2 linked regions of the Oryzias latipes genome follow. The protein of the gene in region 1 interacts with the protein of each later gene in a pairwise test. Links are inferred from orthologs where the notes say so. Each region holds a gene or a part of one and is shown on either strand. Other genes may lie near its edges.

Region 1 (3,809 bases):
TTGCTTTCCATGACGGTGAGCGTCTCCGCCCCCTGCTGCTCCACCAGCAGCCCCAGCTGCCTCAGGTTGGAGAAGGTGAGCAGGTGGTCAAAGCCATAACTCTGAAGACAGCCGACATTGCAGAAGTTGATGTCCACCTCATTGGACTCATAAAGCTGCTTTAAGAACGTACCTGGAGGTACTGCGTCTTCAAAGAGCGATAGTCTTTGGGCAGCAGTCCTGTGATGAAGCAGAATCATGAAAAAACAAGAACAACCCATCCCTTTTTGAGGAGTGAGTGTTTACCGTTCTCTGTGATGGACAGAAGACACAGCATCCGCAGGCTTTCCATCATGGAGATCTGCAGGAAACGGAGGAACGGGGTCGGACTTTGTGGAGTTTCATCTCCTAACCGTGTCGACGAGGACTCACCTGTCTGTTGATGTGCTCCTCTATGAAGGAAATGCTTTCACGGATTTCAAAGCCTTCAAGTAGACCTGAAGAAACAGACGTTAAAAACCAATAGGAAGAAGAAAAAGCCTTAAAGCTTGTTTCAATCAGCCTCTCTGGAGAAGCTCAGCGGCAAAAGCATCAGTGGCTCACAGTGTTCTCTCTGCAGCAGCTCTTGGAAGTCCTGCTTTGTCTTCTTCTTCATGATGGACTCACTAGCACCAATGTCTGCAGAACAAACGCAGGTCAGCACGCATTTGCTGGTGTCACCCCGTGGAGCCTGTCACTCAAACCTACGCAGGCTGAGCAGCCGGTGCTCCTGCTTCAGTCCTTTCAGCTCCTCAGACACAAACGTTTTCATCTGCTTGATGTCCATCCCCTGACGCTTCTGCAGGGTCACCACAGCGTCAGAGCGGCTCACTGACTACCACGGGTTTCACAACACTCACGCACGTCGTATGCAGTCTGCAGGTTCCTGGCCTTCTGGCTGAGGAAACCAAAGACGTTGGAGAAATGTTCGTTTCGGATTTCATTGAAGACCTGCAGAAAGAGACAGGATCAGTCCAGAGTGTGCACAGAGAAGGAGCTGCAGCTCCCATCCCAGCCCACCTTATCCTGGGAGTTCAGCATGACCTTCACACTTCTGTCAGAGGAGGTGACGTCTGGACCAAACTCCACGCAGCCTGCAGACAAACCACAAAGATGAAAACCAGTGAGGAGAGAAGACGAGGCCAAAAGAAGCACAGAGCAACCAGAGAAGAGTCAGGGAAAAACTGAAGAAGAAACAGAAAGGACCAAAGGAAACCAAAAAGGAGAGGAAAGACAAACAACAAAAAAGCAGAAAAGTAGAGAAGAAGCAGCAGAACCAGCATCCGCCTCTTTCAAGTTTCAAAGGTAACCTTGAGGTGCATGGAGCAGGTTTGAGCACAAACACATCAGAGTCAAAGCCAAGTCAACTGTCCAACGACCAACACCAACCACACTTGATCCGAAAAATGTCGTCCAGCAGCCCCTCGTACACCACCTGTGAGCACAGAGGAGTGACGAAGTCTACGTCTGAGGAGACAGAGGAGAAGCCGATAAGGCAGAGCCGCGCATCAGGACCCCCCCTCCAGGATCAACCGTCCCACCTCGGTCAATGAGAAAGACACTCCCAATCTCAGCAGGACGAGCTCCTTGTTCTCCCTGCTCCACCTGCTCCCTCCACCACTCGTACGTCATCTGCAGTCAAGACGGAAACACTTTTCAGGCCAGCGGAAAAAAGGCCAGGAGAACCTGGAGGGGGCGGAGAAGACTCGCTGCACCTGGGAACAGGAGCCAATCCCGTACAGCTTGGAGAACGGGCCGTAAACCGAGTGGAGGAGGTGCAGAGCGCCCCCTACTGTTCTCAGCCACCGCTGATCTCCTGCCTGGAAGAGAGACAGCGTAAATCCTGATGTGAAAGCCCAGCTCTGACTTCCTGGTGGAAAACAGCAGGGGTTCAACTTGTATTCTGAAAAGAAGACTTGAGCTTGGCAGCTTTACAACTACTGAACTCAAGACAAAAATGAGGGAAAAGGTTAAAAAAAATCCTTTGTAGACTGTTGACATATTTATTGGGAGCATAACAACTGATAACAACTACATCACTAAACGTTAATGTGAAACACATTGACTGTACAGAAAACGTGGACTGAATGAGTGTAACACGACTGATTCAGACCAATCTCTGCTTACTGACATCATCTGGCTTCAACATAGCAGCATCCACATCAAGAAAAACGCACTTTACTTCATTGGAACTGGAAACAAGCCATTGTCTAGGGGTGATGACCCACTGACCCGGTCCAGTTCTCTAAACAGTCAATGGATGTGAGAACCAGAACAGGGAGAAGGCATTCCTGCCACCACAAACACATCAAACCTCTGATTCTGTTTACAGTTCGGATCCCTGAACAGTATGGGCCAATCAAAAGACAGAATGATAGTTTAGGCTTTGTCATCTCAGCCATACCTACAAAAACAAATCCTGTCTCCAAATAGAGAGTTCTGTTACGAAAAGCTTTATTGTGAGGTGTTTAATTGAAATGGAAAGGTCTAGATCAGTGTTTTTCAACCTTTTTTGAGCCACGGGACACTTTAACCTTGACAAAAATCCTGCGGCACACCAGCATCCAAAAAAAAAAAAAGGAGAAAGTCATAGTCTGTATTGATCTACAGTCCCTCCATGATCTCATACATTTTTGTGATAATTGTGGCAGAAAAAGCTGGAAGCTGCAGATGTTTTTTCTAAAAGATGGAATAAAAGTTAAGTTAGAAGATTTAAAAACTGTTTAATGTGTGTTCGTTGTGGTTTCAAGGCGTTTAACAAGGACGACTCATTGTACGCTGAGACGCTGTCACTTTGACCCAATGCATCATGGGAGATGTAGTGATGGCAGACAGACTCTCTTCTCTGAGCTTCATGGTTTCGCTCACTTGTTCCACGGTCTGACACCGGATTCTGTGGAAAGCTACACCGCTAAAGACGAGCTTTAGCTGGTATTTCTGTTGGAACTGAGAGACTTTATGAGCAAAATCAGAACAAGGAAGTGAAGACTTTAACCACTTCTGATTGGTCAGACTGATGACATGTGATTGAGCCTCCAAGAATGATTGGTGGAGACAGTTAAAGGGGCGGGACTTTTCCTAAAACAGCTGAAGCTACGGCTAAATTGTGGTACCGTCATTCTTATCAAAATGTCTTTAATAGAATCAAATAAACACAAAGAAAAAAGTATTTTATATTCCTAACTACTCAGTGTTTTATCAGGGCCTGTTTGGATGAACACAGAGCTGATATCCTGGAGATGGAAATGTTTTTAGGTCAGTGAATGGGTCATTTCCTACACCTGACCATCTCCCACCGCACACTAGTGTGCTGCGGCACACTGGTCGAAAAACACTGATCTAGAAGACCTGAAAACAACTCTGACAATTCTAGGAGCAGCTCAGACAAAGATGTACGTCCTGCATAGTCCACACAGGCACTGGAACTTTATTTACCAGAAAATTGTCGTGAAAGAACTCAGGCAGCTCCATACTTAAGATGTCATCATCAAGGGGGAGGAGGTAGAAGGCCCACTCGTCTGTGGTCACGTCTGTCCGGACACGGAGACTGTGTTAGCACCTGGAACCGGCATTCCTGCCTCCAGGCAGACATGCAGAGAAGCTTACCGCCAAAGACGCCCTCCTCCTCCAGCACCGCCTCACATGCAAAGAACTGTGGGAGAGGGAGAACATCAGGACTCAGACCCAGCACCGCGGGGCGTATGCAGCAGACCTACCCTCTGAAGGGTAGAGACTATACAGCAGATCTGCCCTCTGAGCGGTAAAGACTATACAGCAGATCTGCCCTCTGA
Region 2 (4,289 bases), on another chromosome or scaffold:
GACAATCCTCTTTCTCTGATTTGGGGATCCCTCAACAGACCTGACAGTGGCCTTAAGTCTTAAAATGATGCATGTTTCCATCACTGACCGTCGGAGAAGCTCTGGAAGTTTTCTGATTTTGCTTTTCCTGCAGGCAGACAGATGTAAGTCAGATGTTTGTCTGTCTGGGTCACATGACCCGTTCCCACCACATACCTCTGAACAGGGAGCTCAGAGAGAGTCCGGAGTGACTTTTGTTAAGGGTTGATGGTTCTGTTGGGATTCTGGGGAAGGCGGGTTCTCTGTCTATCTTCTGATTGGACCCTGCCATCTCTTTGATGGACCAGGAGATACCTGAAAAACCAATCCCTAGGTCATATCCCTGCAGCCAGTCACAAAGCAGGACCCCCCCCCACCTTAAGGTGACTTACTGCCAACTGGCTCTCCACTCCAGCTGACCTTCTCCGTGTCATCATCATCATCTTCCTCCACCAGCTGCCGAATGCTGTTAACCGCCTGCTTTGACTCCTTCAGCTATCACAGCACAGTCCTGATTCAACCAACTTTATTCACCCCCACTTCAGTAACACAACAGAAACCCACAACCCTCATCAGAGCACCTTCACTTAGTGATGGATTATTTTTGTAGAGATTGTTAAACCGAACAGAGAAACCTAAGGCTGTCTTGGTTTGGACTTCTAAGAAAAATAAACATCAACTGAAGAACCTGAAAAACCCAAAGATGTCAAAACAAATCTATGGCTCTCCAATGAACCCAGAGAACCCCAAAGGAACTTGAAGAGCATAAAAGGATCATTTCACATCTCTGAAGAAATCTGAAAGATCTAAAGAAACAAAAAGGGCGAAGGATGCAGAGTGACACTGAGATCCCCAAAGAACCTTAAGAGACTAAGGAGACCTCACAAACCCAAAGAACCCTATGGGACCCAGAGGAACTCTGAAGGAGTCTAGACCTGGACACATCAGAAAACAGACAAAGGAGTCTGAGTGACTTCACTTAAAAGCATCTTACCCTGCTGAGCTCTTCATCTTCGTCCTCGAAAGTGAAAGCCTTGAACTTGGAACTGTGCCAGTACTCTTCCTCATCCGCCTTGCTCCTCATCATCTGTTTGCAGAGACAGAATCCGCTTCAGAGACATTGGTCACCACTCTGTCATTCTTTGAGGTTGGTGGGTTTTCAAAATAAGGGGCTGTAAGCAGGGGGGTCCACAACAATTGGTGGAGGTTCTTCTAAAAGAACATACAGTGGAAATATACACCTGCTGCCTGGAAACACTGCAGTGAGAGCGCTGCTGGGAAGGCGTGACATGAGCCTTCTGCAGTGATGCTTGTGGATTTTCACCTCAAACTCAGATCACACATGCAGCCTAAAAACAACCATGGAAAACTTAGTCGGAAGAACCAAACCCAACCAAAGGGTTGCTGGTTGAATTTCCTGCTGCCAAAGTTACGAGTCTTTGAAAAAGACACACTGCTGCAGGCAGTTTCATTCCGGCTTTCGGAATGTCACGGAACGTAACGGCGCTTCGAGGATGAATCCGTTTGAAAGGATGGATCCCAAACGTCATGGAAGAGGCCGAACCAAAGTGGTGAAGTGGAGATGGTTCTGTTTTGGAGGTTAGAGGCACCTGAAAGACATCGCTGTCTGTACCTGGGCCTCAGCTGTGTTGCATGTTTGACCTTTTTCCCCTTAATCCACCTGCTGCAGTTACTGCAACTCATCTCTACAGTGAGCTCAGTCTAAGTCTGGGGTGTTGGAGGAAGAGGCAGCGGCTCGTGGAGCGGTCAGTTTCCTCAGACCACAGACTGACAGTCTTAGCTCCAAAAGGAAGAGGTCCTGAAGATTTGGCGGAGTCGCAGCTTTACGTGGGCTTTTCCACAGGAAGGATGAGACTCTCCACAAGCCTTCAGAGCCACAGCAGACGGAGGAAGTCTTCACGGAGTCCAAGGAAACAATACTGACAGGATTTAACAGGAAGCTCCATCATGGTCAGGACTTCCGCTGAGCACCTGCGCCGGAAAGGACGGTCTGCTGCCTCTTCTTCATCATCTTCATCAGTCAGACCGTCTGCAGACTCAACCCCCGCTGTCCGCTTCAGCCCCCCCCCCCCCCCGCCAGCCTCGGTGTCGTGAGACGTTGTTTGTTGTTTACAGATAAGGTAAAGAAGAGCTGACGTGAAAATATTTGGGCACCCGCAATTGAGATGCTAGCATGCTAGCAGGCTAACAAACATCTCCTGACGAACGTAGTGACGTAAACATGACGACAGCTGACACGAACAACAGACACAATCAGACTAATTGATAACTGATGCCAACCTCTACGGTGCAGACGACACCTCCAGCTGTTGCTCCTCTTCCTCCAGCTGTTGCTCCTCTTCCTCCTGACTGATTCTTCTTTGAGGGTGGGCGGCGACTCCCCTCCTCCCTCAGAGGGGAAACAGCGCCCCCTCTGGTCGCAGCGGAACCTCCTCCCGGCCACACGGCCCTGAAGGGGTCCGCGTTGACATGCAGATGTTTTCTGCTCTTCCGCCCATTAACCTGGTATTTATCAGTAAAAACCAGACGTTCATGGTTTTTTTCATCTCCATCATGAAACTCAATAGTTTCCGCGAAGAAAACCACGTCAGTCATACCTAAGAGCTCACCTGTGGGAGGAGCCAATGCCTTTGTGAGTACACCCATTGACTGGACAAAATACTCGTGTCAGTGGTCCACTGAGACGGGGCGGGGGTGCCAGATGCAGAAGTCCCTCCTGGAAAAATCCATTTGACTTCCACTCTCTGCAGGGTCCCGGGTTGGCAGAGACCCCACTGGACTCCAAGCTTCTGCATTTTTCATGCTAAAAGGTACGTTTAGCTGCATCCTTTTTGAGCTCAGATGATCTTTTTTTTTGCATTCATTTAAACATTATGTCTCTGCAGCTCACAGAACTTGTGAACAGATCTTAACTGACATTTTCTCTCAGGCATTTTCAATAACAGTCTAGAATCTGGAAGAGGGGAGTTTGGAAAAGCCGCCTCCCTAAACCCAGGAAGAGTCCTGGGATTAGGGAGGCTGTCAGGACGGCTTTTGTTTGGGAGAGTTGTGCCAAATTGTGTTTGTGAGTGTTGCTGCGTTTAGCCTTGTGTTGTAGATTTGTTGAATGGAGATGAAACTGTTCTGACTACATGGATCGTTCCAATAAGAAATTTCCCCCAGTCTGGAACCATTTTGATCTTTTGATAGCAAAAAAGTCAACATTTTTCACCTTTGGACATTGTTTGCTTTTAGTTTTTGAATGAAACATGCGTCTATCCTTTTCTGTAAGAAAGTTGAATTGATTTCAGATAAATGAACCTTATTTTATTGTAGGCATTAAGAGAAGTGTCAACTCCACAGAGCATCAAAAAGAACACTTCATCAACGCTGAGGCATTATAGAGCTTAACATCTCCATCCGCTCATCCAGGACCGGGTCTGTGGGGGCAGCAGAAGATGCCCGGGCTTCCCTCCAGCTCCCCTGGTGGGCACGTGTTAGAGCCTAACTTGTCAGACAATATGCAGATCCTCATGTGAGTATCTCACAAATATGTTGATTAAGAATAGTTTATTACACACCGAAGGCTTTGTGTGACTCTGCTATATTGTTTGTAAAATGACAGATCTTTAAAGGAAATATTTCCTTTAGTGTTCAGTTCCTAACCAGCAGAGGAGGCCGTGGTGAAGATGATCAAAGACTGTCAGCCACTCATCACTGTTGAAAAGGAGGGATTGTTGGATCCTGGAGCTCATTGCAGCTTCATATGTTCTACCAAAAGAGATCATCTTGGAGCAAAAACTTGTCGTCTCACTGAAATGTCTGAATGAATCCACTTTTAGTCTGTTATTCTGTATGATTGAACACCAAAGTCATAGGTTAACAGAGTACTTGGCAACATACATGTTAAACTTTATTTTGCTGACATGTCCATTCATTGGCTTTTCAAAGTGTCACATTTCAAATTCAACAGATTTTTTGCATCCACTAGATATCCTCCTAGAGCGCTTGAGCGAACTAACTGGATGAAAGTTTCATCACTTCATGAAGCTTCATCTGCCCATCACTAGTGTCACAGTTTGGATAATGTGTCACACTTCTTGAGGCATTATCCCATCTCTAGTGAGGAGAGTCATACCTTAAACATGCTTGAGCGTCGATGGGAGCTCCTGATGCCAGAGTTCTCTTTCTTGGCTACAAACAAAACTTTATTGAGACCCCAAACCAGGCCCATAGGGAGAGAGCATCTCCATACTTACCAGAGAGCACAG

The links.
Region 2: the proteins of vps33b (region 1) and vipas39 interact in binary tests that used the Homo sapiens proteins (3 or more experiments, as listed by UniProt). The link is inferred for Oryzias latipes from reciprocal best matches to the Homo sapiens genes VPS33B and VIPAS39.

What each region holds. Positions count from the first base shown.
Region 1 is NC_019861.2:285,041-288,849, forward strand, and holds part of vps33b (vacuolar protein sorting-associated protein 33B), read right to left. Parts: intron 3,671-3,809; coding exon 3,625-3,670; intron 3,549-3,624; coding exon 3,454-3,548; intron 1,839-3,453; coding exon 1,734-1,838; intron 1,651-1,733; coding exon 1,560-1,650; intron 1,486-1,559; coding exon 1,408-1,485; intron 1,113-1,407; coding exon 1,039-1,112; intron 970-1,038; coding exon 883-969; intron 818-882; coding exon 727-817; intron 658-726; coding exon 583-657; intron 477-582; coding exon 412-476; intron 341-411; coding exon 286-340; intron 220-285; coding exon 173-219; intron 102-172; coding exon 1-101. UniProt on the Homo sapiens protein: May play a role in vesicle-mediated protein trafficking to lysosomal compartments and in membrane docking/fusion reactions of late endosomes/lysosomes.
Region 2 is NC_019882.2:23,108,948-23,113,236, forward strand, and holds the start of vipas39 (spermatogenesis-defective protein 39 homolog), read right to left. Parts: upstream 2,840-4,289; 5' UTR 2,835-2,839; coding exon 2,649-2,834; exon of another isoform or gene 2,545-2,648; intron 2,542-2,544; coding exon 2,320-2,541; intron 1,106-2,319; coding exon 1,013-1,105; intron 514-1,012; coding exon 411-513; intron 334-410; coding exon 196-333; intron 128-195; coding exon 89-127; intron 1-88. Other genes in the region: activator of 90 kDa heat shock protein ATPase homolog 1, read left to right, coding at 2,840-2,849, 3,451-3,553.